Linked DNA regions of Lonchura striata. The protein of the gene in region 1 interacts with the protein of each later gene in a pairwise test. Links are inferred from orthologs where the notes say so. Each region holds a gene or a part of one and is shown in the gene's direction. Other genes may lie near its edges.

Region 1 (7,414 bases):
GCTACTGTCACCCCAAGGATCTGCGCCACCACTACGACACCAAGTGAGTGACCCACGGGGGTGGCAGTGTCCCTGTCCCCACCAGGGAGGCACCTCAACCCCCATGGGCTGGGGACAGTGCTGGGGACATGTTCAGCATCATCACGGAGACAATCTGGGGGACATGTCCACGGTAATCGGGGAGACAAAGATGGGGACGCATCCACCATCATCAGGGGGACAGAGATGGGGACACATCAGCCATCATCAAAGGGATAAAGCTGGGGACATGTCCAACATCATCCAGGGATTAAAGATGGGGACACAGCCACTGTGACCAGGGGGATGATGCAGGCAATGTCCAGCATCATCAGAGGGAAGATGCCTCCATCTTGTCCCAGTTTGGGACACATCCACATCACCAGGGGGACAAAGATGGGGACACGTCCACCAGTATCAGGGCCACTGGGGCTGTGGGGCAGCCCAAGGAGGTGGCCCTTGGTGGGATGTCCCCCATGTCTCTGACAGACCCATCGTGGACCTGATGGGGACCATGGAGACACCGTCAGAGCCCTCGGAGCTGGAGCTGGATGACGTGGTCATCACCAACCCCCACATAGAGGCCATCCTGGAGAACGAGGACTGGGTCGAGGATGCCTCGTGAGTGCCCCCACTGCTGGGGACCCCTGTGCAGTGCCAGCCCCCCATCATGGGATGTAGGGGACAGATTTGGAGGTCACCAAGCCATGGGGATGGTCCTCAAGATGGTCTTGGATGGGAATATCCCCACAGGTCTGGGGGACAAGGGATGTCAGAAGAGGGGAGACACAGGGGACAAGGACAGAGCAGGGGGGACACAGGTGGATTCACACCCTCTTTCTCCACAGGGGTCTGGTGTCCCACTGCATTGCCATCCTGAAGGTGAGTGAGGGCGTGGCACTGGTGGTAGTGGTGACACTGGTGGGACGGGTGACACTGGTGGCAATGGCAGCACTGGTGGTACTGGTAGAGCTGGTGGCAGTGGTGGCACCAGTGGCACTAGTGATGTTGGTGTCAGTGGTGGGCAGCAGTTGTGGTAATGGTGGCAGTAGTGACATTGTTGGTACTGGTGGCACTGGTGCTGATGGTAGGTGGCACTTGTGGCACTGGTGTTGATGGGCACTGAATGGCCACTGCTGTCCCCCAGATCTGTCACACACTGACGGAGAAGTTGGTGGCCATGACCATGGGCTCGGGCACGCGCGTGAAGTCCCCAGCCAGCCTGGGTGACATCATCGTGGTGGCCAAGCGCATCAGCCCCAGGTGACGGGATGTTTGGGGGGGTCTCTTGGGTGGGGTCCTGTGGCTCTGGGGTGTCTACAGGGATGGGGGGAAAATTCCAGGGCTCTGGAGGGGCTCCAAAGATTTGGGACAGGGTGGGTCTGGAGGGGTCCTGGGGGCTCTGGGGACATCCCAGGGCTCTGGGGGGAGTCCTGAGGCACTGGGAAGGACCCTGGGGACTCTGGAGGGAAACATGGGGACTTTAGGGGTGTCCAGGGACTCTGGGAGGCATCCCAGGGTCCTGGGGTAATTTTGGGACTCTGGGAGGTGTCCTGGGGTTCAGGGGGATCCTGGGGCTCTAGGGAGGTCGCAGGGCTCCAAGAGAGCTCTTGAGGCCTGGGGTGGCTGTGCTGGAGGTGTCACCAGTGTCCCCTGGGATTAACGCTGTCCCCACCGCAGAGTGGATGACGTTGTGAGATCCATGTACCCCCCGCTGGACCCCAAACTGCTGGATGCGAGGTGACAGTGGCGAGAAGGACAGGGACTCTCCTGGGTGGGGAATACCTGTGGGTGGGGACACCCCCACATCACCTATCGCACCTCTGGGGACAACCCCACTCTGGGGACAAGCCCAGGTCATCCAGCAGGACAGGGAGGCCCGTTGGTCTGAGCAGATCCCAGAATATCCCAGGTTGGGAGGGACCCCAAGGCTCATCCAGTCCCACCCCCGTCCCTGCCCAGACACCCCAACATCCCAGCCTGGGCATCCCTGGCAGCGCCATCCAAACCCTCCTGGAGCTCTGGCAGCCTCGGGGCTGTGCCCATACCCTGGGGAGCCTGGGCAGTGCCAGCACCACTGGAGGAAGAACCTTTCCTGAGATCCATCCCAAACCCCCTGTGACACAAGCTCAGGCCATTCCCTGGGTCCCATCCCTGGTCACCAGAGGCAAACTGCTGCTGAGGGAGCCACCATGGGGCAGGGCGGGAGGTGACAGTGCGGTGACAGGGAGGTGACAGGGCAGTGAGAGCCCCGTGTCCCCGCAGGGCCGCGGCGCTGCTGCTGTCGGTCAGTCACCTGGTGCTGGTGACCCGCAGCGCCTGTCGCCAGCCGGCCGCTCGCCACTGGGTCGAGCGGTCACTGGCGGCCGCCGAGGAGCACATGGCCGTGCTGCGCCAGGCTGCCATGGCCACCGAGCCCGAGCGGCCGCCGGGCCCCGGCGAGCCCCCCCGCCAGGAGCAGTCAGCCATCTGACCCCAATAAAGGCCCCGTGTGCCCCCAGCCCCGCACGGGCGGCTCTGGGATGGGCTGGTGCTGTGCTTTCTGCATGGAGATGGGTCTGGGGAGAGAACGGGGGTGTTGAAGGGGAGGTTGGGGGTCTAGGGAGGGATTGGGGGGCTTGGGAGGGAGTGTGGAGGGGGTTGAGGGGTTTAGAGGGGATTTTGTGGGGTTGGAGGTGGATCTGGAGGGGTTGGGGGGCTAGGGAGGGAGTTGTGGAGGGGGTTTGAGGGGTTTAGAGGGGATTTCAGGGCATTGGAGGGGGATTTGGAAGAGTTGGGGGGTCTAGGGAGGGATTGAAGGACTTGGGAGTGTGGAGAAAGGTTGGAAGGGAGTTTTAAAGGATTTTGAAGGGTTTGGAAGGTTGGTAGGTGGTTGGGGGGACCTAGAGGGGATTTTGGGGGTTTGGAGGGGTTGGGGTCTAGAGAGGGTTTGGGGGACTTGGGAGGCAGTGTGGAGAGGGTTTGGAGAGGTTGGGAAGGCTGGAAGTGGTTTGGAGGGTTGGAGGCAGATTTGGGGTTGGGAGTAGGGACTGTTTTGGGGGGCTTGAGAGGGAGTTTGAAGGTTATGGAGGGGATTTCAGGGTGCTGGAGTGGGAATTGGATTTGGGGGTCTAAGGAGACGCTGGGGGCTGGGAAGGGAGTGTGGAGGGAGGTTGGCATGGGCTGAAAGGGATTTGGAAGGGTTGGGAAGATCAGAGGGGGTTTAGGGGTTTGCAGGGGATTTGGGGTGTTGGAAAGGGAGGTTTGGAGTTTATGAAGGGTTTGGAGGAAGTTGAAGAAGTTGAGGGGATTTTAAGGTTTAGGGGGTGTCAGAGTGGAAGAGGTTTTGGAGTGAATTTCCTGGGACGGGGGTCATTTGGGGGACTTGGAGGCAAATGAGGGAGTTGGTGTAGGAGGGGAAATGGGAGTTAAGGGAATGTTTAGGATCGGTTGGAAGAGGGGTTTGGGGAGGTGGAGGGGGTTTGGAGGGGCATTGGCATTGGAGGGGATTTAGGGGAGCTTGGAGGGGGTGGGAAAGACTTGGAAAGGAAGGTTAGAAGTTTTGGGAAGGGTTGGAGAGGTTGAAGTGGTCTTTGGGGCACAGGGGCTTGGAGGGGACTTGGAGAGGATTTAGGGCCACTTGTGGGCATTGGCAGGGAGGATGGGGGAGTTGGGGGGCAAAGATTGGAGTTTTGGGAAGGTTGGGGATGTTGGGGAGGACTGGAGGGGGTTGACGGAAATTTGCAGGGTTGGGGAGGATTTGGGGGCCTGGGAGGCACTGGGGCTACTGCCTGCCCTGGGAGCGAGGTCTGGAGAGCTCCAAGACACCAAGGGGCAAAACCCTGAGACCCGGGCAGGGGGATCTGTGCCCCTGATGGGCTCTGTGCCCCTGGTAGGCTCTGTGCCCCTGATGGGCTCTGTGCCCTGATGAGGGGTCTGTGCCCCTGATGGGCTCTGTGCCCCTGGTGGGCTCTGTGCCCCTGATGGGCTCTGTGCCCTGATGAGGGGTCTGTGCCCTCGTGGTGTCTCTGCCTGTGAGAGGGGAACTGGGGCTCACACAGGAGTGCTCCAGGCTGCAGACAGAGGGGTCCGTGCCCCGGGCAGGGCGGTCTGTGGGTCCGTGTGTGTCCCGGGCAGGGCGGTCTGCGGGGTCTCTGTGGGTCCGTGTCCCGGGCAGGGCGGTCTGCGGGGTCGCCGCCCCGCTCCCGCTCCCTCAGGCCGAGCCCCCCCCGCTCTCGCCGCCCTCAGCCCCAGGGGGTCGGAGGGGGGGGGGGGCTGGCACGTGACCGCCCGTCACGTGGCGGTGTGAGGCGGCCGCCGTGCCCGCCCCCTCACCCCGGGCTGGCCAATGGCAGCGCGGCGGGTGCGGCGGGCGGCCAATGGGCGGTGGGGGCGGGGCTTGCGGCCAGCGGTGGGGGGGGCTTGCGGCCGGGACCGGGAGCGCTGGTGGGGACCGGGAGCGCTGGGACACACGGGCATAGCCGGGAGGTACCGGGAGCACTTGGAGCACTGGGAGCTGCCAGGAGGAACTGGGAGTCTCGGGAGGAACTGAGAGTCACGGGGGCCACTGGGAGACACTAGGGCTACTGGGAGTCATACGGACGACTGGGAGGTGCTGGGAGCTTTGGGAGGAACTGGGAGTCACGGGAGGAACTAGGAGGCACTGGGAATCATGGGGCAGCACTGAGATCCACCGGGAGGTCCTGGGAGTCATGGGAGAGCACTGGGGGTACTGGGAGCCCTGGGAGCACTGGCGTTACTGGGAGCACTGGGGATACTGGGAGCACTGGGAGCACTGTGGTTACTGGGAGCACTGGGGGTACTGCAGTTACTGGGAGCACTGGGAGCCCCGGCTCTGCTGCTGGGCGATGTCGGGGGTCAGCCCAGCCCTGCCCGGGGGGGGTCGCAGGGGTGGGGGTGCAGTGACACCGGGGTCCCCCCGAGCCCCCCATGGGACACAGCCCCCGTGGCCGCGCTGGGCGGGGCGGGAGGTGCCCGCAGCGGGGAAAGGGAAGTGAAAGTGACCGTGACCGTGACCGTGACCGTGATTGTGGGACGGGCCCGTCCGGCACCGCAGGGAGATGTTATCGGGGCGCGGTTGGGGTGCCACACACCGCAGGGTGTCCCGCTCTCCGTGGGTGCCCCCAGCACCCCGGGGTGGGGGAGCTGGCTGAAGGGGGGGATGGGGCTTTCCCAACACATGGCTGAAAGAAGAAGTTGAGAACTGCCTGCCCGCACAGTGAGAAGGGAAACTGAGGCCGGGGGGTTCCTGCAGGTGCCCCCAGAGCCATGAGGACCCTCCTGCTGCTGTGGGTGGCCCTGGCCAGCGCGGGGGCCCAGCTGCCCTGTCCCCAGGGGGGACCCTGCCCCATCACCCCGGTGAGTGCACGGAGTTTGGGGGGATCGGAGGGGCCTCAGCAGGGGATGATAACCCCTCCTATGCCCCCCCAGGCCCTGCCTGCCCGCAGTGCAATGGGGTGCCAGGACCGCTCATCCTGCCCCGCCAACTGCCAGCTGCCAGAGGTGAGCCCCCTCCCCTGTGCCTCAGTTTCCCCCTGTCCCTGCCGTTTGGGGGGCACTCCCTGACCCCCCTGCGCTCCTTCCCCCTTCTCTCTCCCCAGAGTGTCCCCTGTGCCGGGGGCCACCGCTGCTGTCCCCGAGGGTCCCGCTGCAGCACTGATGGGGAGTCCTGTGTCACAGACCCAGGTACAGGGACACGGGGGGGTGGCGGGGGTCAGGGTGGGCCTCAAGGGGACAGGATGGACACGGGGGTGCCTCACCTGTCTCCGCAGCCCCCCGTGCTGTCCCCTGTCCTGACGGCCAGTCCGAGTGTCCCGATGATGCCACGTGCTGTGTGACGGGCAGCGGCGCCTGGGGGTGCTGCCCCATGCCCCAGGTACGGGGTGTGGGGACACGGGGACGCTGAGGGGGGGGCCTGGCACGGCCGTCGCTGTGACGAGCATGGCTGGCACCCGCAGGCCTCGTGCTGTGCTGACAAGGTGCACTGCTGTCCCCACGCCACCATCTGCGACCTGGCCCGCGGGCGCTGTGTGTCCCCCGCCGGTGACACCGACATCCCCTTGGGCACAGCCTTCCCCGCCTGGAAGCGCCTGCCCCCTGCCCCAGGTAAGGGGTGTGCCCGGGGGTGCCCTCACTGTGCCGGGCCCTCGGAGGGGACGCGGTGACACCGTGTGTCCCCCCAGTGGCGCTGTGCCAGGGGAGGGGACGTGGTGACACCGTGTGTCCCCCCAGTGGCGCTGCGCCAGGTGCTGTGTCCCGATGGCCGCTCGGCGTGTCCCGATGGGGCCACCTGCTGCCAGCTGTCCCCAGGGCAGTACGGCTGCTGTCCCCTGCAGAACGTGAGTGCTGGCACAGCCCTGGGCACCCTGGGATGGGCAGCTGTGCCAAATCTGTGCCCAGCACCCCAAACCCCCCACCCCCCACTGAACACCCCAAAACAAGCACCCCATGCCAGACACCAAATCCTAGCCATCCTCCACCAGGCACCCCAAACCAAGCACTCCTGTGCCAGGCACCCCAATCCAGCCACCCCTCACTGGGCACTCCAAACCAGCACCCCACACCCCAACACACGTCACTCATCCTGTACCCATCCATGCAGGCACCCCATTCTGGACATCCCAATTCCAAGCACCCTACAGTGATGCCAAGCACCCTATTTTGGGCAGCCTGTCCCAATCATCCTACACCAGACACACCTTGTTGGGCATCCTGTGGTGGACACTGGGCCCTGGGCACCCCAACCTGTGCCATGTCCCCATACCAGGCACCCTGCACTGCCCCACGTGCTGTGCACACCCTGTCCTTGTCCCCAGGGCCCCTGTCACCCCATATCTCTCCCCCCAGGCTGTGTCCTGCAGTGATGGGCAGCACTGCTGTCCCAAGGGCACCTCCACACCATGTCCCATATGCTGTGCCCCCCCTGTGCCCATCTGGGGCCCGTGTCATGCTGTTTCTCCCCCCAGGCCGTGTGCTGCAGTGACGGGCAGCACTGCTGTCCCCAGGGCACCACCTGTGACCTGATCCACTCCACCTGCACCTCCCTGGGGGGCTCTGCCTCCCCAGCAGCTCTGCCCACAGGTAAGACGCCCTCAGGGAGCAACCACCCCCTGTCCTGTCCCGGGGAGGGGACACCAGCCCTGACTGTCCCCTGTCCCCAGCTGGTGAGGTCAAGTGTGACGAGGAGACGAGCTGTCCCGATGGGAACACGTGCTGCAGGCTCAGCTCAGGGGCCTGGGGGTGCTGCCCCCTCGAGCAGGTACGGGGGTCCCCTGTGCCCCCAGGACACACACGTCTCCTGTCCCCCTGGGTGGGATGAGGGCAGCTGCGTCTTGCTCCACTGAGAAGGACAAGGGTGGGGGTTCCTTATATTTGCCCAAAACAAGGTTTGATGTCC
Region 2 (7,833 bases), on another chromosome or scaffold:
CTCTCCCCTCTCCAAAACCCATCATTTAGGGATGCTGCTCGCACAAGGACAAGTGCCTTGTGGCGATGCTTTCAATTCTGCACCTTCTAGGGAAGATAACACACTGTGGAGCTATTTTAAGAACATCTCATTCACAAAGGTCTCCAATTCCGTCTTCAGAGACAGAGAGGATTTTCTTGCTGCTTCAACGTCTTTACTGGCTTGACATTTGCTTCAGAGGGAATTCATTTGCTGTTCCAACATCAGAATGGAGCAAGAGCAGCTGCCAGGAGAGGGATAAAAGGAAACACTGTCGACAAAGAGCAGCAGGGTCATTTCTGGTGCAAAGAAATATAGAACAGAGAGAACCGCAGAACTGACACTTTCTCCAGAAAGCAGCAGGGGATAAAGATGTCCCCTCTGCCTCCTGAAACCGGTGTTTAGAAAGGGACTAAACAATCAGCTTTAACTTTGTAAATGACTGATTATTACAAACCAACTGTAAGCACCTGAGCATTCCCACTTAAAGCCAAGTTCATGCTTAAATGCTGCAGTCAGCAAAGAACTCAGTAAGTCCTTCAGAACTCTCAAAAGAAAACAATTCTGGCTAGAAAGCTCTGCAGAGCACAAGCTCAGTGTTTGGGAGGTGACATTTTTTGGATGATTTCAAGCTGCAGTGCTAATCCTGACCATCATATCTGTATATGGAGCACACTGGACAGATTTGGGGCAGGGCTGTGATCCCACCACAATAAATTGTTCTGCGAGAACAGAGGAGGCTGAGGGTCCAGGGAAGGAACACAGGTACCCGTGGAGTCTGATATCCACCATCAGGGAGAAGCGCAATCTTGGATGACACCATCTGTCCCTCACAGCAGTTGTCCCCCACCCCATCCCAGGCACATCATGCTGCCCTGCTGCAGGAAGCTCCATTCCATCCTTTAATTGCTCTCCAAGGCAGTGCCACATTCCCACAGTGCTGCTCTAAAGAGTCACCCTGCCTGCTACCTGACTGACAGCCTCACAACAGCTCACCTGCTCGGCTGGATTACTCGATTCTTTTCCCTCTATCTTATTAAAACGTTGCCCTGAGCAGGGCAGGGACTTGTCCCTCATTCCACAAGACAAGCAGACCCTGCCCTCCTCCTACATGAAGGAATATTGTCATCCTTTCAAAAGTTAAGACAGAAACCTTTATACACAACCAAAATATTCCTTCCCCTGCTCCTCTCTGAATTTTATTAATGGAGGAATTTATTCTTTTCCAGTTTCATGGAGAAAAGGTTTTGAAGACAAAAACTCTGGAAAATTATTCCTTGCGAAGAAAAGGGCTAACATACTTGAACAGCAATTTTAATCCCATGATATTTTGTGTACATGCTTATTATGTTACACGTTAGGATCACAGTTTATTTGGAGTGTGGTATTTATCTGACTAACCAAACCTGCTCAGATCCATAGGCATGAGTACCATGTTTCTGACACCTTAAAGGCTCCAGCACCAGGATTTATGAATTAAGTATTTCCAGGGTGTTACAGAATACTGAGGACTGTATCTGCAGAGTGTTATATCAGGGTATGTGTGGGCTTGTCAAACACCCACATGATAAATTATCAATAGTGCAGCTCAGAGCACCCCTTTTGTGGATCAGAGACAAATCTGTGCATTTTATTATGCTTTGTTCCACTTAATGTTATTATTTTCTGCATTAAAGGTTCACAAAACCCTTACATGCCCAAATGCTGAAGGACATTCACACACAAAAAATGATCAAAAGACTTATTCTAATATTTCAAGTCCTGTTTTCACAGCTAGTTCATGTGGGACAAGGAAAAAATGCTGACAAGTTATGTCTGGAACTGGACAATTACATTTTATATTGTTCAAGATGATACAATCTTTTGCGTAGAATGTTAAGGTTAAAACACTACTGAGGAGCATTAAAGAAACAGGACTAGCTGATTATAAAGTGCCTACCATCCCTTGCCTGTATGCAGAGCACTGTCAGAGATTATAACTCTGCAAACCAAGTGTCAAATCTGAGAGGAAAATAAATCTCTCAAGAGTCAGAAAAGACTAAACTTGAAGCAGTGGATTTTCAGAAATGAACAAGCGTGAGCCCAGCATTTCTGATGCACAATATTGACTTTTACATGCAGCAACAGACCTCTGTTGAGGAAACAAAGGGTCTACTAGGCGAGCACTTTGCAAGTTTCATGTTTTCCTTACTACCCTTCTGTTTTTTCCTTACGCATACTTCCCTATGAATCAACTTGATCTTGTCCTCCTTAACCTGCCTAAAAAGCAGTTGAACTGAGAGCTTTTAAGTTTCACAGTGTGAAGAGGCCAGGAACATCAGTTGAAAGTGTTTATGAACCCAGTGTGCAAGTCAGATACACTGGTGAGGGTGGGCCACCCAACGCTGGCACCTGACAGAACTCCATATGGGCACCAAGATAAGCACATCCCTCACCAGGCTTCACCTCACAGAGCAGGGCTGCTGCAGCTTCCAAGGGCAAATAGAACAACATGGCTGTAGCATTTAGTGCATCTGGAAACGATAAAGTGGGTCCCAGATTTTACCCACACTTCACAGATGGAAGCTGGGGAGCACGGTTTGGAGTGATCTGGTCATGGACTGCTAGGAAACATGTGCCAGTGCCAGGAGTGCAAACCCTGCGCTTCTCCTGCTGCTGCTGCTGAGAACCCACTGACATGACAGCATCTAACAACACTTTCAGGGTACTTCTAAGGCAAGACACTTATTTACCCAGTGAAGTACCTAACTGAACAAACAGTTAAGGTGACACTGTGTTTAGACCTGAATAGTGGCACTGAGACACTGACCTGCAAATACACTGAGAACCCAGTTTCTCATACAAGGATTATTGGGCCACTGCTCCCTTTTACTACTTGAAAAGGTTTTGCAGAAGAGAGAAAAAGAAAAGTCCATAATGAAAATGTGTGGGAGAGTTTTAAAAACCTTGCAGTCTTGCCAAGACAGCCCTATGCCCTTTTGTACCAGCTTCCTTCCTTCTCCCCCACACCACACCTCCCCAGAGCCCCAGGGGAAGCAGAAACCAGGAGAACCCTTGGGGTGTGCCATATTCAGACCCGGCTTGTTATCAGCTCCAACAGAAACCCCAGACAGCTACAAATGTGAGTTCCAAATAAGTATTCTGTCTCTTCTTCCAATAGGTAATATAAAATGGCTGTAAACCAAAATTTGCTTGTTTCTTTTTTTCTTAAGTGCAGTCTGTTTTTAAGATGGTGACATGACAGCAAAACTCTGATATAATTCCAGACTGGACTATTAATAACCATATTTCCAAATGCAACAGGGATAGCTTTAACAAAGGAGCCCATCTTCAGTCCTGCAAGACTTTTCTTGATTACATTCTCAAAGAGCAGGCAAAAATTACCCAACTCCCATTGTTATAAAGTATCCCCAAAGTATCAAACCCATACTTGCAAAGATTTTGCACTGAGGTTTCAGGAGTCACAACAGGCTGTCACATTTATACGCTCTCTTCCTCCCCCTGCAGAGGAGCCTAATGCTGTCCAGTCTTCAGAAACAAACAGAAAGGACAGATGACAGGACTGCACCTTCAGGGATCTTCTGGTAACACCTCAGCACTGCAGCTGTCCTGTCACAGCTCTGCTGAGCTCTTTTCCTGCCCAGACAGGAGCCAGGGGCAGCGAAGGAGAGGCTCAGCTCCCTCCCAGCACAGCGAACACATCCCCTGTCAGTCACGGACTGCCTCCGAAATGCTCAGTTCAGTTACCTGAAAGAACCTCTTCATCACCCTCACGGTAATTTAACTCTACCACCATGGGAAAGGCTCCAGTAACCTGGGAGAGTTTTTCTGAAGTAAAACTATTAATCAGATATGATTAATATTCGCATGAGAAAATGGAAGGTGTTAAAACTTTTTTTTACCCACCCCTGTGTTTCAGGGAACACTGATGCCTTACCCAAAGACACTGCAGTCCCCAGGCATGCAGATTCATAGCGTGAGGGAGCTAAAACAACAACCAAAGGATATTTCGGTCCTGGTTAACACGTACCTGGCAGTGTCCCCTGAGCGTGTTCTGAGCACGCTGAAAGGAGCCTCGCAGAGACTGCCTCGGGCAATGGGCCACGCTGCTGGGAGCACTACACCCTCTCATTAGCGGTTTATTTCTCTTTCCTGCCAAGGGGAGCCCACGCACGGCGGGACATGGTGCCACAGCCCAGGGGCCCCGCTGCCAGCCCCGCAGTCGCCGCTCTCCGGTCCTCAGAGACTCGAAAAACAGGCCCCAAAACCCCACAGATCCCCTGCCCTTGGCGGGCAGCCCCCGTCGGCCCGCCGTGCTGCGGGACCGGCCCCGGCGGCAGGGAGCGGGCGATTCCCGAGGGCACCGTGACCCGGGCGGGAGCAGGGTGGGCACAGAGGGAGCTGCGGGGGCAGCGGAACCGGGCGGTGTGAGGGCACAAGGGCACCGGGACCCGGCGCGGCCGCTCAGCCCGCCCTCAGCGCGGCTCGCGCTCCGCCGCCCCCTCAGCGCCCACGGCGACCCCGCGCGCGCCGCGTCCTCACCTCACCCCGCCCCGGGCCGCGATTGGCCCCGCCCGCCGTCCGTCAGCAGATCCCCTCCGCCCATTGGGCGCCTGCCGCCCGTGGGCGGGCGCAGCGGCCGCTTCCTCATCCGTGATTTGCGGAGCGGCGGCTCCTCCGCCGCCCACCGGCTCCGCCACTGGCGAGGAGAGCTGTCGGTCGCGCCGCCGCCCGCCTCCCCGTGCCATTGGCCCAGTAACCTCTTTTCGGGCTTTCGTTTCTCTGCATTGGCTCATTGGACTGGACGGGCGGCTGCGATTGGGCGAAGAGCGGCTCCCGGGGGCGGCACTGAGCTCAGGAGCAGCGTCCATTGGCCGGCGGCCCGCCGTGAGTGGCAGGAGGGTGAAGGAGGCGGGCCCGCCCGGGGTGAGGGTTGTGTGAGGTGAGGGAATCTCGCGGGGTCTCGGCGGCTCCGGGCGCGGCGGCGCGCGCTGATTGGCCGGCGGGGTCACGGGGGCGGGGCCGCGCCGTGGAGAGGATGGGGGGGGGAGCTCCGCACGGCCGCGCGCGGTGGGCGGGGCGCGCCGGGCGCCGCGCGGCGATTGGTCGGGGGCGGCTCTCGCGCAGCCCGGCGGGCCGGGCGCGATTGGCTGCGGGCGGTGTCGGGCGCGCGCCCCGCAGGGGGGGGGGAGCGCGTGCCCGCGGCGCGGCGCGGGGCGGCGGGACCAGGTGAGAGCGGGGCCGGGGCCGCGGCCGGGGCCGCGCGGGGCGGGCACCCGGGGCCGCCCCCACACCCTCCCGCCGCCCGCACCGCGGGCCCCCTGCCCTCCACCCCCGGCCCGACGCCCCCCGGCCCGCCCGGCCCCGCCCCGCCGCGGGTCGCGCTGTCAGGGGCCGCTGCGACCTGCCCCGCGCCCCCTCCCCGGTCCCGCTCCGCCCCGTCATTCATTCGCCACTTTTCCCCCTCCTTCGCCCCCCCCTCCCCCCCGCGATCCCTGTCCTGCCCCGGCCCTTCCCTTCCTCCTTCTGTTTTTATCTTCTTTTAGCCCCCTTGCCCCCCTTTCCTCGCCCTGCGCCGCCCTCCCTTCACTTTCTCTGGGTCCTTGTGTGTGTTTCAGGCCTTCAAGGAAAAGTTGCAAACTCCCGAGTTGTTGCTGCTGTGAGGGAGCAGGTGCCTGGAAGGAGGGAGCAGGTGTCTGGAAGGAGGGAGCGATGTAGGAGGTGCCCGGGCGCAGGGAGGTTCGGGGGACACATGGAGAGGGTGTGGGAATGGCAGGGCTAGGCTGGCCAGCCCTCGCGGGGTGTTCAGGGCACAGGCTCCGAGCCCTCCCTCCGGAGGGAAGGGGGATTGATCACGGTGTTTAATTTTTATAACAAGAAAAACAACAAAAATAACCAAAAGTGAAGGAAAAAACCCACCCCGGCCCCACCCAGCTGCCCAAGGATGGAGTTGGAGTAGCCAAGCCCAGCTGGATGCTGGGGAAGGGGTTGGCGCCCGCACACATGAAGAGACTCCCCGAGTTGTTTGGCTTCGCGAGGAGATAAGGCCAGTGGAGCTCCATGTTTTTAAAGGTGGGCCGTGTATGATGAAACCCAACTTCTTTTAAAGTGTAGCAGATTTAATTTTTATGGCCAAATGACAGCTTGACCCAGTTGTTATCCAATCAAAGGGCATTTTTTTGAATGTCTCTTTGTGGCACAACAGCCAACGCAAAAATGATGGCGGCTTACAATGGCGGTACGTCTGCGGCAGCAGCAGGTCACCACCACCACCATCACCACCACCTTCCTCACCTCCCTCCTCCTCACCTCCATCACCACCACCATGCTCAGCACCACCTGCACGCCGGCTCGGCGGCCGCGGTGCACCCCGTGCAGCAGCATGCCTCCTCGGCCGCCGCGGCCGCCGCAGCCGCAGCCGCCGCCGCCGCGATGTTGAACCCAGGGCAGCAGCAGCCGTACTTCCCATCCCCGGCCCCGGGCCAGGCCCCCGGACCGGCTGCAGCAGCCCCAGCTCAGGTACAGGCTGCAGCAGCTGCTGCAGTCAAAGCGCACCATCATCAGCACTCACAACATCCACAGCAGCAACTGGACATTGAGCCGGACAGACCCATCGGATACGGAGCCTTTGGTGTTGTCTGGTGAGTAGAGACAAAAGTGAACCGATACCTCCTTGTCATTCTTTACCTGATCATAACTCATCCTTGTTTTTGTCATTGGAATCAGAATACAAGAGAGCTGCTTACTAAGAGTTTTTTTGCTGGTTCTTCTCCGTTCTTAGAAAGTTGCTTCGCTCGTTTGCGTTGGCAGAACAAGGTTCCCAGTGGTGAGGAGCCACCTCTGACTAACAGGCCACCCTGCCGTTCTGAGACAATACAGCTTATTTATGCCCTTTCTGTACCTTTAATTAGAGTGTGCATCCGTGCAGCTAAGCCGTGCTTCCTAAAATTTCAGGTTAACAAATGAGCACTGGAATATTCATTTTGACCTGGCTTAAGAGTCGGAAATGAAAAGCGTATGAAAATGTCTTCCTTGTGCAGTCACCTGTCAAGATCTTTGTCTCACGGCGGTTTGACCCGCGGTAGTGCTGTGTACTACCTCAAACAGCACAGCTGAACTCTGCTCCCCTCTCAAAAATGGAAATGGGATTTCCTGCCTCGCTGTAGCTCTGCCTCCGGCCCTTTTATCCCCCAGCCGCGTTTCAGAGGAGTCTGTCAGCGGAGTAGAATCTCTCCTAATGCATTTTATGACTACCTTAGAGCCATGTATGTAGTTAGTGCCCTTCAGGAGCACTGACACAAAGCTGGCAGCAGTATATGTGCATTTGTATATAAATGTTTGTTGGCGTGCCCTGTTCTGAGCTGTGCCTGGGAAGCATGAAGGCTGGCAGGGGGCTGTTCTGGAGAGCAGGCGTGTTGCAGTGCACTTCCTGCAGCACGAATGCAAAGTTTGCAGCGTGCAGCTGTGTGTGGTGTCCGAGCCCCCTGCAGCGTTCCCAGCCGAGCCTCTGGGGTGCCCCAGGAGTTTTGCTTTAGGCACTGGCCGAGCTGCAGCTTCAGTGAGACGAGTGGCTGGGTCACGGTGTGTGCCAGTGCACGGAGACAAGAGGGCTCAGCAGGGCAGGCCTCAGGAGAGCAAAACTCCTTCTGCCTGCAGCCCAGCCTTTCAAGCTGGCCACACATCACCAGCCCAGTGCTGGTAGCAAAATGGTGCTTTCTGAGAAGGCTGAGGGAGCTGCAGGAGTGAGGTGCAGGTCAGTGTTGTGGTTGCTCCCGTGTGCCTTCCCTCAGAGCTGGGGAGTTAATTTTAATGCTG
Region 3 (6,101 bases), on another chromosome or scaffold:
TCCCCCTTTGAAGAATTTATATATCCTAAAATCCTATATGCACTGATGGCTTTTAAACCATGTTTGAGAAACTAAGGATTAGTGATCTACAGTATGGTGATTTTAAGGCTTTGATATTTCACTGAAAATAAATATTTCATCTTAACATACTGCAAAGACTGGAAAATGCATTGAGGAACTTCGCCTGTCTAACTACTGGGGATGTGATTGCCATCAACTACAATGAAAAGGTACAGTGTAAGGTTGAGGGTTGTAGACTACTATTAGTGTTGGATGTTGGTATTAAAACAATCAACTCAGAGCTATGCAGTGTTTTGGACAAGTAATCCCACGTGGCAGATTTCACAGTTGGCTTTCTGTTGGAGGGAAAAAGGAGTCAGCTAAGTCTTTTTCTGAGCTGCTGTTTAAATTTCTTTGGACTCACAAGAAAATAAATGTTTGTGCTGTTGAAGTTTTCACAAGTGAAGGGAAAGAATTTATCCTAAATTCAGAATTTGTTTTCAAAAATGGAGGTTAAAGTACAGTAAGAGTGCAGCAAGGTGCAGTAATGGGTTCTCTGGCTTCTAAAAACTTTTGCTTTTAAATTCTGTAGAGACCCTGCAATATTTATTCTTATCAACCTAAAGAGTACTTACTTCAGGTCTGGAGGGGAAGGTTTAGATATGCTTTCCTTACACATAATGCAATCTTGAAATATCTATGACTGTTTCAGATCTATGAGCTTCGGGTAATGGAGACCAAACCAGATAAGGCTGTGTCCATCATAGAGTGTGATATGAATGTAAGTTAAAGCTGATGGGGAAGGCCTGCCTTAACTGTCCTCCCAAGAGGGGAAGGCAGTGATAGCTCTGCACACCCAGCCCAGCTGATGCTGCAAGAAAGGTGCAATCCATGGGGTGGGGAAGATGACTCACTTGGGAGTACTCATGTGCCTTTGTAACCCCTTCTGTGATCCCGATTAGTACTTCATGCACCATCAGGTGACTACCATGCCTAGAATTTAATGTTTAACTTTGGCATGTTTTATCTGAGTTTTATTTAATAGCCTTGTCTTGACTCACACTCCAGTGATATTGTGGAGCTGTTTTACTGCTTTGTTTCCATTACATGCTAAGGTTAATTCCTAGTAGGCTTGGTCTTTTTTTAGTTCTGAGTTAAAATGTTTAACAACCAAACCTTAGTTCTTTTTAGCTCAAACGCAGTGGTAATAGTTCATGAAGTTTTGAGGAATAGTAGTATAAAGCTTATGATTTAATGAAAAATATTAATAATGGGTTTTTTCATGCTTCTTGTGTAAATAGGTGGATTTTGATGCTCCTTTGGGATACAAAGAACCAGAAAGAAGTGCACAACATGAAGAGACCGCAGTATGTTAAACTTTTGTTCTTCCAAAATGCATCCCCTAGAAGTCACTGTTGACTGTGGGGGAAGTGCCAACATAATTTTTTTTTTTTTATTTAAACAAGTTCTGTAGAGTAAATTTTACTTGCCAGAAGCCTTTGCATGTGTTACTTAGGGGACTGGTGTTTACCAACTGTTGTTTTAAGAAAGTGTCTTGGTTTGACAAGTGATTGTTCTGAAGTTTTGTTTGGCCAGAAATACTTGGAACAGTTTTCATGGCATGTGCATGTCAGAACACAAACAACATGAACTTGTTTTTCCCCTCACAGGATGTGGAAGCAGACCACAGTGGGTATGTGAGCGATATAGGATTTCGTGTAAGTGCCCTGTTTCTGCTGGTTTCTGAATCCTGTAAAATGGTGAGGGAAAGTTGTTCTGAACAACTGCAAAATATCAGTACCTGTTCTTATAGATGCTTGTTATTTAACTGGTAAGTGCCTGTGAATGTTTTGTGTCATCACAGCCAGGAGCAGCATGAATTGTTCTCTGCAAAGGGCAGATGAGAGGTTGAAACAGACTCCTACACCCATGATTCATCAGCTTATATGTACCAAAAAGAATCATGCTGAGTTAAATAACTAAATAAAAATTGCTGTAAGATTTTACAGATATAATGTCCTTGTGAAGTGTGCTTTCAAATGCCAGGAGTTCAATTAAAACTGATTATGTATCCACAGGCATTCTCTGGATCTGGGAACAGATTGGATGGCAAGAAGAAAGGTGTGGAGCCCAGTCCCTCACCAATTAAACCAGGAGACATCCGAAGGTATCATTCACTTGTAAGCCAGTGAAGTATAGTGTTTGAGCAGAGTTTGGGTTTTTTTCCCTGCTTCTGTAATATAAACTAACTAATTTTGTCATGAGTTTGCCTTAGAAAATAAAGTCTTTCTTATCCACAGGCTAGTAGAAACATACATGTGGACAAGCTTCCACAACAACTCCAGTATTTGATTATTTACTTCTGCAATCTGTGCCTATCTTCAGAAAATAATTCAGTGCTTTAACTCTGGAGTTATTTAGAAATGAAAATGTGCAGTCAGTGTTGGTATTACACTGACAGACACAGAGTAGTTGTCTCTGTGTCCAGTTCAGAATAGGCCTCTGTGTGGAAAATTCAACAGTATAAAAACATAATGTTTTTATGCTTCTTTTCCAGAGGAATTCCCAACTATGACTTCAAGATTGGTAGAATCACATTCATTCGGAATTCACGTCCACTGGTCAAGAAAGTGGAAGAGGTATATGAAGTTGTATCCTCCCCAGTTTTGCACGGAATTAGAACATTAGAACTAAGATGCAAGTCTGGTCCCTCTGTCTTTCCCCTTGATTTTTTTACAGCATGCTTCCATTAAAAAGTGGTAGTAGTTTAGAATGGTTTGAGTCATGTGAAGCAACCTCTGATGTCCTTGTTACTGATTGGCCTGGTGTCGGTTTATTAAGCCAGTTGGCTGAAAAGTCACCAAAATGCTACTATTTTATTTTCAGAAAGTGCTTTTTATCTAAATTAAGGATGTGAAATGTCTACACTCAGTGGCTGCTCTGATGGAGCATTCTTGCTAACAGTTGTTCAGCTTTCATCATACAAAAGCAGTGAGCCAAGAGGTAAAACCTTTTTTCCCTTTCTTTTTTCCAGGATGAATCTGGAAGCCGGTTTATTGCCTTTTCAGGAGAAGGCCAGTCCCTGCGCAAAAAAGGAAGAAAGCCCTAAGTTGTGGTACCTTCAGCTAGTTAGGGAGAAAATAAAATAACAGGTGCAGCATCTTGGATCTTAGTAATTGCAGTTGAGAGATTGTTTTGCAACACAGGAGCACTTAACAGGTGTTTCGGTTTCATGTTTAGATCTGGAGCTGTCAGACTGTCTTAATTTTCAGCTGAAAATTAAGTTCTGGGAATTTGGAAGAAGCTTTCTGTATGTGTTGTAAAGAAGGGAATGCAGATCTGTGGTAAACCTGAGAAGCAGAACCAACAAGCTCTACCTTATTAAGGGTCCAGTTAGACTACATCTTCCCCTCATCTCCTGAGTTATGATGATCTCATGTTGCTCTGTGCTTGGTATTTTCCTCCCTTTATATATATTTTGCCACAATTTAAGATCAGCTTTTTGGTGTGGTGCAAATGAAGGGTGACTTTGGTGTTTAGGATTTTAGTGCAGGGAGTTTCTTTGAGCTTAGCTTCAGGTGTTGGGTTATTAATCATTCTAAGCAACCCCCCTGTAATTGCTTTTTATATTTATAATTAATAACATGCCTTTTAATAGTTCAAATACTATAATGTAGCGTAGGAATCTCTTGGCACGTGTAGGGAGAGGAGGGACGCAGCTGTACTGCCCGCTTTGGAACGGTGCGAGTGTATCCTGTGCGCCCTCTCGTTTGCCGGCGAGCGTACCCGGGTGCAACCCTGCGTAGTTTTTACTCCTCCGAGTAAAGTTCCTCGTTCCCAGCCGCGTCCGTGTGTGGTGATTCCGGCCAGGCCGAGGGCCGGCCCGGCCTGCGCTGGTCACGTGCCGCGCAGCCATTGGCTGCCGGGCCCGGGGCCGCTTTGTGCCGCCGCTCGCCATTGGCCGCGGCTGCGGGCGCCGCCGTAAGCGCGGTGGCCATTGGCGGCGGGCAGCATGGCGGGCACGGGCGGCTCCTGGCGGGTGAGCGGGCCGGGGGGCGGCGGGGCCGGGGGGCGGCGGGGCCGGGGGGCGGCGGGGCCGGGGGGCGGCGGGGCCGGGGCCGGGCGGGACCCGGTGCGGCCCGGCGGGGCTCGGTGCGGCCCGGCGGGGCTCGGTGCGGCCCGGCGGGACCCGGTGCTCCCCGCCCATGTCCGTCCGCAGCCGCCGCGCTCGTGCGAGGACTACTGGGGGGAGTGGAAGCACTGCCGCGGGCTGCGCCACGCCTTCCACCACTACTACGCGCACGGGGAGCTGCCGGACTGCGGCCGCTGGCGGGAGGACTACGAGGCCTGCCGCGCCTGGGAGAGGGACCGCGCCGCCGCCGCGCAGGTACCGGCCCCGGCCCGCTCCCGGCCCGCCCGCGGCTCCAGGGCCGCCGGGACCGAAACCCCGCGGCCGCGGGGCTTGGGGAGGGTTTGGGAAAGCAGGCGCCGGAGGTGGGCAGGTTAAAGTCCAGTGGAGGATCCAGGGAGTGTTTTCAGCTGTAAATACTCTGACGTTTCCTTCCTAAAAGGAAAACCCGCCACGTTACAGGGAAAAGGAGTTGCCCCTGGCTCCAGCCCCGCGGACACTGCGCGACACCAGCCCTGCGGCACAGGCTCCGCAGGGTTCCACAGCAGTGCGAGTTTCCTTTGTAACTTGAGAGCCAGAGGCAAAATATAAATATGACTTAGTTAAAAGCTTGTATTCTGGTTTACGTAGATAACATTTAGCACTTCTGCTTAAGCATGATAAATTTTTATTTCTTTTATCTCAGTTATTCAGAGTAGGAAATCAGCTCTGTATAACTGGAACATCTAGCACTATTATGATAATATTTTTTTCCTGTATTTCAGGAAGCTTTGTGCAAGAGTGAAAGAGCTCGAGTTATGGAAAAACAGAAATATGCTCCAGTGTGGAAGCTCAGGAAGAGCCCCCCACCTGACTGGTATCTACCACTTGACCATGACAAATCAAATTAACAAGACTGTTTTCTGTGTTTGGTTAGTAACATAATACACAATTCAGAATTATGCTGAACTTTTTTTTTACCTTCCATATCATCTTGAAGTTATTCAACTGTTGCTCTGCCCTACAATACTTTAGCACTCGCTTAAAAATTCTGAAATTTTATTTAAGCCCTGAATATTTTTAAAGGGAGATTTGAGGTGCTTAATTTGATTGTGGGCTTTTACTGCTGACTTACACTTCAGGATTTCATCTCGGCAGGCATCTTTCAAGATGTCTTTCTAGCTCTGAGGGGCTCTTGCTCTACCAGCTGGCATTGAGCACTTCTGGAAAAAGGTACTCACCCCAGGCCTGCCAGATGGGGGAAAAAACCCAAGCTGGGACTGTTCCTTGCAGGCTCAGGACAATCCCAAACACTGGCATTTAAAAGACACTTTCCAGAATCCGGGCCGTGGTAGTTGAACAGCTTTTCACCTGTGGGCTGCACACCCTGAAACTGCCCCTCTGTGGAACTGCTCTTGATTGGTGGTGTGTGTTGTGACAGTATTCAAAACTACTAAAAAATAAAAGTTTAAGTGAATGTAGAGAGAGATCTGGTTTGTATTAGGGCAAACAACAGTTACATGGCAATATAAGAATTTTAAAATTGGTTTTGCCACTGTGTAAGGTTGTGTAGCTTTGCTAGGTGTGTTATTACCTGGATAGTCATTAAAACAGAGATACTTCATTTATTTTTATTTACAGTCATATCCTGCAGTGTTGCAACCTGCAGGAAGAAGTGTTTATTACTCCAATCTTTGTTCCTTCAGTCGCTGAGCACCTCGTGGCAGCTGAAGCAGGAGCTCCCCTGTCACTGTGTGTACACCTTGGTGATGTCAGTGCACTTTCCTTCCGGGGGATCATAGCCAGGAAGGGGAGGGGTGTAACTGGGTCCGTCCCTCTGGAAGGGGAAGAGCTCCTCGTCCCTCCGGATTGCTGCCTGGTACAGCTCCTCAGATTCCAGCTGCAGCTCCTTCAGTGCCTCCTGCTGAGATTCTACAAGGGCTTTAATTGCATTCTTTTCTGCCTCATCTTGTTTCTGCTTAAACACACACCA
Region 4 (7,106 bases), on another chromosome or scaffold:
ACATTTAATAACAACTGGTGTTTCATCCCATGGCAGAAAATATGTCACATACAATTTTTCTAGTATTTTTTTTATGTGACATAAGATTAGTAGAAATTTTCTGTCGAGATTTACAAAAATAAGACCCTCCCCATAGTCACTGTGAACTCTCAAGCTTGTGAGGTTGAAAATGAGGTGAAGCCTTTGGTGGCTCAGGTGACAACCTGCAGTTCCCAGGGTGCTACTCAGAGCAGGAGTACCAAAAAATCCTGCAGGAAAAGGGTGTTACCACAGTCCCATCAGTTAACCAGACTTCTCCTGGTGCTAGAAGGGCTGAGTTTGGTGTTGCATTATTTCTCACACAGTTACAGACACACTTCTTACATTCACAGGTGTACTTTGTTCACACAGTTACATGAGTCACGCACAGTGACAACGCAGAACTCCAGTGGTGACATTTATCATACAAACAGGTCCATTCCTCCCTCCTTGCTCCTCAGATTTATTAACTAGATTTATCGAAGACGGGATCTGGTTTTCTTCTTGTTCTTCCTCAATTTAAGTGTTGTGACATCCTGATATAGTGGCTCATCTCAGGTGTGTTGGGAAGGAAAAAGGCAATAAAAATTCACAGTTTCTCGGTCCATGACAAGTGCTGCTACTAGTGAGGGCTGTAATTCAGCCCACATAGGCATCAGTAAACAAGTCCAGAAAGGCTTTTCCCTTTATTATTTGAAGCTCAGGCTTTCAGCTATTCTAGAAGAGAATTTTTCAGGTATTTTTGTGTGGTTTAAACCAAGAGGTAATGCCGCTTCATTAATGCCAAGGACTGTAATATTTAATAACCAAAATCTAGTCTTATTAATAGATTATAAAGGGTTTAGTAAATGTGTAAAACAGAAAAAAGTGAAAATGAATGTTCTTTGGTTTAAATCCTATTCCAGAGATTTTTTTTCTCCTAAGAAGTTTCAACACCATCATTAATTTACAAGCAAAATTGCACACTAGGTAGCTCATCTTAGTAAGTTTCCATTTGCTATTAGTCTTCTTCACTGCAATTATGGTGAACTTATTCATGAAATCTCTGCAGAATTTGGCTCTAGCTGTTTTCTGTGCTCTCAAATCAGACTGACCTTTACATGTTTGCATATTGTCCTTTTGAAGCCAAGCAAAATGATTTCTATCTGGAAAATCTCAACATGGAAAACAGCTCAAGGATACTGTGCCTGCCTTGTATTATTTTATGCTGTAATTTGTTCCTTATCATCATGTTTCATATGTTCTTGACATTGGGCATAACAATTATAACAATGGCAATTGTGCTAAAAATATTTGTCATTTAGTTTCAAGCTAGAAACAGCTCATAAGCAGATAAAGAGAACAAGTAGGGAAGGCAGTGCTGGCTGCCTTTGCAAATGTTTTTTCTTGGCATTATCTATTATCTCGGAATAGACATTTGCCACACATTGCAGAGATGGGGAGAGAGCTATGCCCCCATCCCAAATTCCTGGAACAGTGCAAATCACACTTGCCAGGGAATGGAACACATTTATTTGCTTGCTGAGAAAGACAAATGTTTGTGGCATCCTTTCATTCCTACTGCTCACCAGACAGGCCTGTCCTGCAGCCCTTACCTAGGTGAGTCTTTTCTGCTCACTGTGTCTGGGGTTGAGGATGACTCCTGGCTCAGGCTGTGAGCACACACATTCACCCAGAACCACTGCAGAGCCAAGGCCTACACAAATCCCTGGATTATCTACCAATTATATGGAAAAACAAAGATTAATATGCTCATTAGGCCCTGTAACACAGCATTTGTGTAATGGGAACCTCATTGCCTGTTGGTTCACGTTTACCAGAAAATGATGGTGCTTATGAGAAGAGATTACTTTCTCCTTAACTGGAAAAGCAAGTTATTTAAGCCGAGTTTGCTTTATATTTCATACCCCTTCCTCTGTCAGCCTTACACAACGCACACTTAAGGGCCCATTATCTTCTCATTGATGTGAGGGCATTATGTGTGTAGCCACCATTAATGGTAATGAAAATGGCTCCTGTTAATCTCCTGTGCGCTGATAGTCAGATAATAGCCTACTTATTAAGTACAGAGGCCAGACTAGGAGTTGCACCGAAATGAGCAGCGTATTGTCTCTGTGGGATTCAGATGTAAACACTAAATCATTGCCCTGTGCCCACAGCTGATGATTAAAAAGAAGTTAGCAATAGCATAAATGTGCTCGCCTGGCCTGTGCTTCCAAGCACCACAAAGCAACTCTGGGTGCTCTTTCCATCTGATCCACCCTCACCTTTGGGAGGATCTCTGGGGACAAAGTCCTGAGTTGGAAGGGACACACAAGGATCACTGAGTCCAACCCAGACTTTTTGGGGTTTCCATGCACAGGAAACCCCCAAATCCCACTCTGTGCATCCCTGAGAGCATTGTCCAAAACCTCCTTGAGCTCTGGCAGCCTTGGGGCCACGACCATTCCCTGGGGAGCCTGTTCAGTGCCCAACCACCCCCTGTGGGAAGAACCTTTTCATAATATCCAACCTAAACCTCCCATGACACAGTTTCAACCATTCCCTTGTGTCCTACCCCTGGTCAACAGAGAGCAGAGATGCTCCTCCAGCTTGTTATGTGTAATAAATATAATTTGCGCCATTCCTTGTATGAAATATGTAATTTGGATACTTGTTAAATCATGCCCGTTGTATTAGTTCCAACCCCCCCCCCCCTTTTTTTTTTTTTGCAGGCGAGACTGAGTATATATTGGAAACTGATTTACAAGTAAAAGGATGTGGCTCGGCTGGGTGATGGGCCATCATTGGTGTTGATCGTCTGAGATGGACATCATGGAAATACTCAGACAGATCCATGTGGATGCAGCCTTCCTGTAAACTCCCAACAAGAATTTACCTACTCCGGACATTGAATTATTTCTCCTCATCACCAAAAAAAGAAATTCTTATTAATCTATGGACTCTGAATAGAAGAAAGGACTGATTGCTAAAATCTTGGCCTCAGGTGGAATTTTCTCTATAAAAACCGCCTGTGCCAGGATGGAGGTGTGTGGGCATAGGAGAAAACCTCTGCTGAGGCTGACTCCTTGTGGCACACCCAGGGTCGACCCCGGGCTCAGCTCTGTCCTTTCTGTGTGGCTGGCTAGATAGAATTTGACAGCTAATAAAATTATTTTTATTTTTAATCTGGCTAAATAAATTCTCATTTATAACAAGCTCCTCTCATGACGAAGCACAAACCTCAATGATGTCTCCCCTCAGTCTCCTGTTCTTCAGGCTGAACAACGCAAGGACCCTCACCCACCCCTCTAATGGCTTTCCCTAGATCCTTCCTCAAACTTGTGGCCTCCTTTGGATGCTCCTTAGGGGATTTATCTCCTCCATATATTGATTGGGGTACCCCAAACCATCCCAGCGCTCCAGCTGTGACCACAGCAGCCTGGACGTGAAGCTGGGGGAGCTTCAGCCCCTCCATCTGCTATCCCCAGCTTGGGAGCAACACGGGCCGTCACCTGAAATCACCACTGCACTCTCACCCATAGGTGTGTGAGGAAAACCCACAGAATTCCACAACATTCCACATAATTCACCCTCACGGGCAGCCCCAGCCACAAACCCCGGGGGTCGTTTTTGCAGCCGCACGGGGAGAGCAGCGCGCCCGCAAGGCTCGCTGCAAAGCTTTACTTCAGCTGGAAACAAATCCCTTGGACTCCTCTCTGGAGCACGGGGAGCTGGATCCCATGGAACCCGGCCCGGCCCGCAGCGGGTTAAGCCGCGCGCCCACAATGCCTCGCGCCCTGCAACGTCGGCGGCGCCGGGCGGGACCGGGCCGGGCCGGCACCGGGACCGGGATCGGCACCGGGAGCAGGGCCGGCACCGGGAGCAGGACCGGCACCGGGACCCAGCAGGGGCGGCAGCGTTGCTCAGGTCTCCGTGGCTCCCCGCAGCCCAGCCCCGCGCTGAGGCGGCGCTGCTCGGCCCCCGCGCTGCCGCCCCGGCCGCAGGCTGCCAGGCTGGCGCGGCGGGCAGGAGGCAGCGCCCTGCCCGCTGTTTCAGCTCTTTCTGCGTTGTTTTCTTGCCCAGAAAGCAGAGGCCGGAGGGCTCGGCGGATCCCGGCCATGTTGTGAGGGAGGGAGGCTGCAGGACGCCGCTGGGATCCGGGTACCGCAGGTGTGCCTGAAGGAATCGCTCTTCCTCGGCCCCGCGAGGCGCTGGGTGAGTGTGGAGCTGCTCGGCTTTGATGTATTTGCGAAGGAGAACCGTGCCAGCTCCGTGGAGATGGGCGCTTTGTGAGCTTGCCAAGGTTTTTTCAGCCGCTGTGGCCTTTTTGCACTGGTGGGACTCAGGGGGAGCCTTGAGCACCATGAAGGCACCAGGCCACGTCACCCGCTGACTCTTGGTGTGTGAATCGCAAAGCCCTTTGCAGGCTGGCTCTGAATTTCGTGCTGTGTCAGAGGAGCAAAGTCCTGTTATGTATTATTTCCGCTTCTAGTCCACTTCTGCCTTTTTTGCCTTGTTTAGCAAACTAAAGATTTCATAACCAGAAAACTCATATGGTGAACATCTAGTTTTTGCTCTGGGAGCAGATTGTTTGGGAAATAAGAGTGTGAGATTGCTTTATGTGAAGCTAACTCCACTTTGGAACCCTTGTCAGAAATATATATATTCATAAATGGAAATTTACTCCAAAACGAAACCTTTTCTTTACTGCTTATGTCTATTTCTATTAGATCAAAACAATGTATATTTCTTTACGGTGGCTTCTTTCTTCATTATTTAGCTATGAAACTTAAACGGCACAGGTTTATATACTTAAACACTGATTTAAGTATATAAAGTTTATATACTTAAGTTTATATACTTAAGCACTGCTTATATATCCAGTCAGCTATCAGGCCTCAGCTTTTTGGTGGTGATCAATGATAATTTGAACCCTTAAAACTTTGTGAGAAAATCATTAAAAGTAAACTAGGCACCTCTAAAGGTGTTACCTATTAGAAAGCTTAGAACATGACATTTTTACTTTGTCATTTATTTCCAAATGCTTTGGTGGGGGAGGACAAGATGAAAAGCTGGTGCCTTTAGTTACCTCCTCCTTTTCTTGGTGTGGGTGAAGCTCTTCCTTCCCACTAGACAGATGTGGTTTGGGCAGGGAACTTGGTGCATGTGGAATGGGTGTATGTTCTGACTGCAGTTTGCCTAAGTCTTTCCGTTTTTGTTTAAAAAAAGGTAGTTATGGCAGAACCAAAAGCAATTGCTTCCTTTGTCACCTTGGAGCTGGAGATCTGAAACTCATGTGTAAGCTCTGGAGGGGGCTGGATATTGGCTGTTGGAGGATGGATGTAACTTTCTGCTTTGTAGACAGTTCCTGGCATGTGCAGAGTTGGAGTGGGAAGAGGCTTTCCTGTTCAGCTCCAGCAGTGCTGGTTTGCCATTGAGGCAGGCCTCTGCATGTAGACTGCCTCTGCTGGTTATTCTGATTGAAAATCTGTAAAAAAAGGAGGAAAAATAGTAAAGGAAGGGCAGGAATAAGAGGATTGGACATCCCACCAAAGAGGGGAGCTTTGGAAGCTGTCAGTAATGTACAGGAAGATGCTGGGGAAATTAATTCCTGAGGAAAAGATGTTGGCATGCAAAGAGCAATAATGGCAGAGAGGAGGGCCCAGAGGGTGCACTGTTGTCTGTCTGGCTATTCCTGCTGAGTTATTTACTTAATTTCTGTACTGCAGAGGAAGAATTCTACATTAGCTCACCAGGGACAGATAGTGGAATTGAAGACAGAGACTGAGAATCATATAAATGTGTTTATGGTTGTTATTTAGGACATGAGCAAATGCACATAGTGCTATTTCCCTCCCTGCTCACATGCACATGAGTTGTGGAAGGTTAAATGTTATTGAAATGCTATTGGAAAAGGTGTGTTTAATTATATGAGTAGTCACTTGACACACTTTCATTCTCCTGTCTTAAAATTACACAATTTTTATTAGATTATTGATAAAAATAACTGTGCTCAGTTTTATTTTAATACAGGATGGCAGGAAGATTTTATTCACCACTATTTGCATTGACTTTTATTGCAATTACCTGGTTTTGCCCAATACAAAGCAATTAAGGCTGAAAAGGTGGCACATTCTAAACATCAATGAAAGCACTTCACCTTAAATTCCACAAAATTAAGCATTTGTTAACAAGATATTTACAGAGGAATAAGTGCTTTAGATAAAAAGCAATGACTTGTGCTACAATCACCCTCTGCTTTTAGCAGTAGCAATATGTAGGTACAGCAGTGAGCTTTTCCTTTCTGAGTCATGTTATCTTAGCAGGTGATGCACAGAACTATTTATTGTACTGCTTTGCTTTAGAGATTGAAATTGTTGCCAGTCATACAAATGCAATATTTCCTTACCTGTAGCATTTTACCTTTTTAAACACCCTTCCTTGATTTATTTAAGATAAATACTTCCTCCATCCCCTAGGGCTGTTGTCTGTAACAGTCATTTACCTTCTAAAATTACTGTGAGATTGTTAATTTTATTGATGTTCTAAGGACTTTTGATTATTTGGTCAAACAGCACAGTGAACAGAGTTGCCTAAAGGCCTTTTTGCCTCTCATACCAACCTTTGTTTGGTGAAAATATCAACCTGCTGTTTTATGCTTTGTATCTTGACTGGCCAATAAGCTTGATATTTAGTACTTGGTGCTGTTTCTAGTCTGCTTGGTGAATTCTGTCTTAGAAGTTTGTTTTCTGGAGTAGAAATTATAAGATGGAGAGGAAGTAAAAAGGGAGAACAGATGTTACTTATTTAAAGTTAATTTAAATATGATGCTATTAGTTGATAATAGGAATTTATTTTTTATCTAAATTGCAGCCTTATGCTGTACCCTACACTGTAGTTCTTCAAATCATGAGTGCTTTATGCATTTTGGGTTTTTCCAGGCTGTTTACTGTGTGTAAATCACATTTTTTGTCTTAATGTGAATTTTATCCATAGCATGCCACTGCTCCCTGCTGTTTTCTGCATCATAAAAATTAGAGTGAGATGATGAGGTCTGCCAGTGAGATATGCCTGTTGAATTACAATACTATTTAGTGTAAAAGGTC

What was found.
Region 2: the proteins of GRN (region 1) and NLK interact in binary tests that used the Homo sapiens proteins (3 or more experiments, as listed by UniProt). The two-hybrid records come from large-scale screens. The link is inferred for Lonchura striata from reciprocal best matches to the Homo sapiens genes GRN and NLK.
Region 3: the proteins of GRN (region 1) and C18H22orf39 interact in binary tests that used the Homo sapiens proteins (3 or more experiments, as listed by UniProt). The link is inferred for Lonchura striata from reciprocal best matches to the Homo sapiens genes GRN and C22orf39.
Region 4: the proteins of GRN (region 1) and ARFGAP1 interact in binary tests that used the Homo sapiens proteins (3 or more experiments, as listed by UniProt). The two-hybrid records come from large-scale screens. The link is inferred for Lonchura striata from reciprocal best matches to the Homo sapiens genes GRN and ARFGAP1.

The regions. Positions count from the first base shown.
Region 1 is NC_134627.1:2,567,701-2,575,114, forward strand, and holds the start of GRN (progranulin), read left to right. Parts: upstream 1-4,402; 5' UTR 4,403-4,485; intron 4,486-4,491; exon of another isoform or gene 4,492-4,609; intron 4,610-5,272; 5' UTR 5,273-5,286; coding exon 5,287-5,376; intron 5,377-5,448; coding exon 5,449-5,520; intron 5,521-5,618; coding exon 5,619-5,703; intron 5,704-5,789; coding exon 5,790-5,893; intron 5,894-5,975; coding exon 5,976-6,123; intron 6,124-6,249; coding exon 6,250-6,356; intron 6,357-6,983; coding exon 6,984-7,098; intron 7,099-7,178; coding exon 7,179-7,276; intron 7,277-7,414. Other genes in the region: TMEM98 (transmembrane protein 98), read left to right, coding at 1-43, 508-639, 867-900, 1,166-1,281, 1,699-1,758, 2,284-2,491. UniProt on the Homo sapiens protein: Secreted protein that acts as a key regulator of lysosomal function and as a growth factor involved in inflammation, wound healing and cell proliferation. Regulates protein trafficking to lysosomes, and also the activity of lysosomal enzymes.
Region 2 is NC_134622.1:11,202,483-11,210,315, forward strand, and holds the start of NLK (serine/threonine-protein kinase NLK), read left to right. Parts: upstream 1-4,818; 5' UTR 4,819-4,960; intron 4,961-5,191; exon of another isoform or gene 5,192-5,247; intron 5,248-5,636; 5' UTR 5,637-6,201; coding exon 6,202-6,659; intron 6,660-7,833. UniProt on the Homo sapiens protein: Serine/threonine-protein kinase that regulates a number of transcription factors with key roles in cell fate determination. Positive effector of the non-canonical Wnt signaling pathway, acting downstream of WNT5A, MAP3K7/TAK1 and HIPK2.
Region 3 is NC_134620.1:7,537,815-7,543,915, reverse strand, and holds C18H22orf39 (synaptic plasticity regulator PANTS), read left to right. Parts: upstream 1-3,952; 5' UTR 3,953-4,012; coding exon 4,013-4,039; intron 4,040-4,219; coding exon 4,220-4,387; intron 4,388-4,893; coding exon 4,894-5,019; 3' UTR 5,020-5,589; downstream 5,590-6,101. Other genes in the region: UFD1 (ubiquitin recognition factor in ER-associated degradation protein 1), read left to right, coding at 158-230, 713-781, 1,302-1,367, 1,671-1,718, 2,079-2,167, 2,558-2,639, 3,035-3,109; MRPL40 (large ribosomal subunit protein mL40), read right to left, coding at 5,856-6,101. UniProt on the Homo sapiens protein: Negatively regulates long-term potentiation and modulates adult synaptic plasticity. Stabilizes the interaction of RTN4 isoform A/Nogo-A with its receptors, inhibiting clustering of postsynaptic AMPA receptors at synaptic sites.
Region 4 is NC_134619.1:6,100,640-6,107,745, forward strand, and holds the start of ARFGAP1 (ADP-ribosylation factor GTPase-activating protein 1), read left to right. Parts: upstream 1-4,099; 5' UTR 4,100-4,215; intron 4,216-7,106. UniProt on the Homo sapiens protein: GTPase-activating protein (GAP) for the ADP ribosylation factor 1 (ARF1). Involved in membrane trafficking and /or vesicle transport.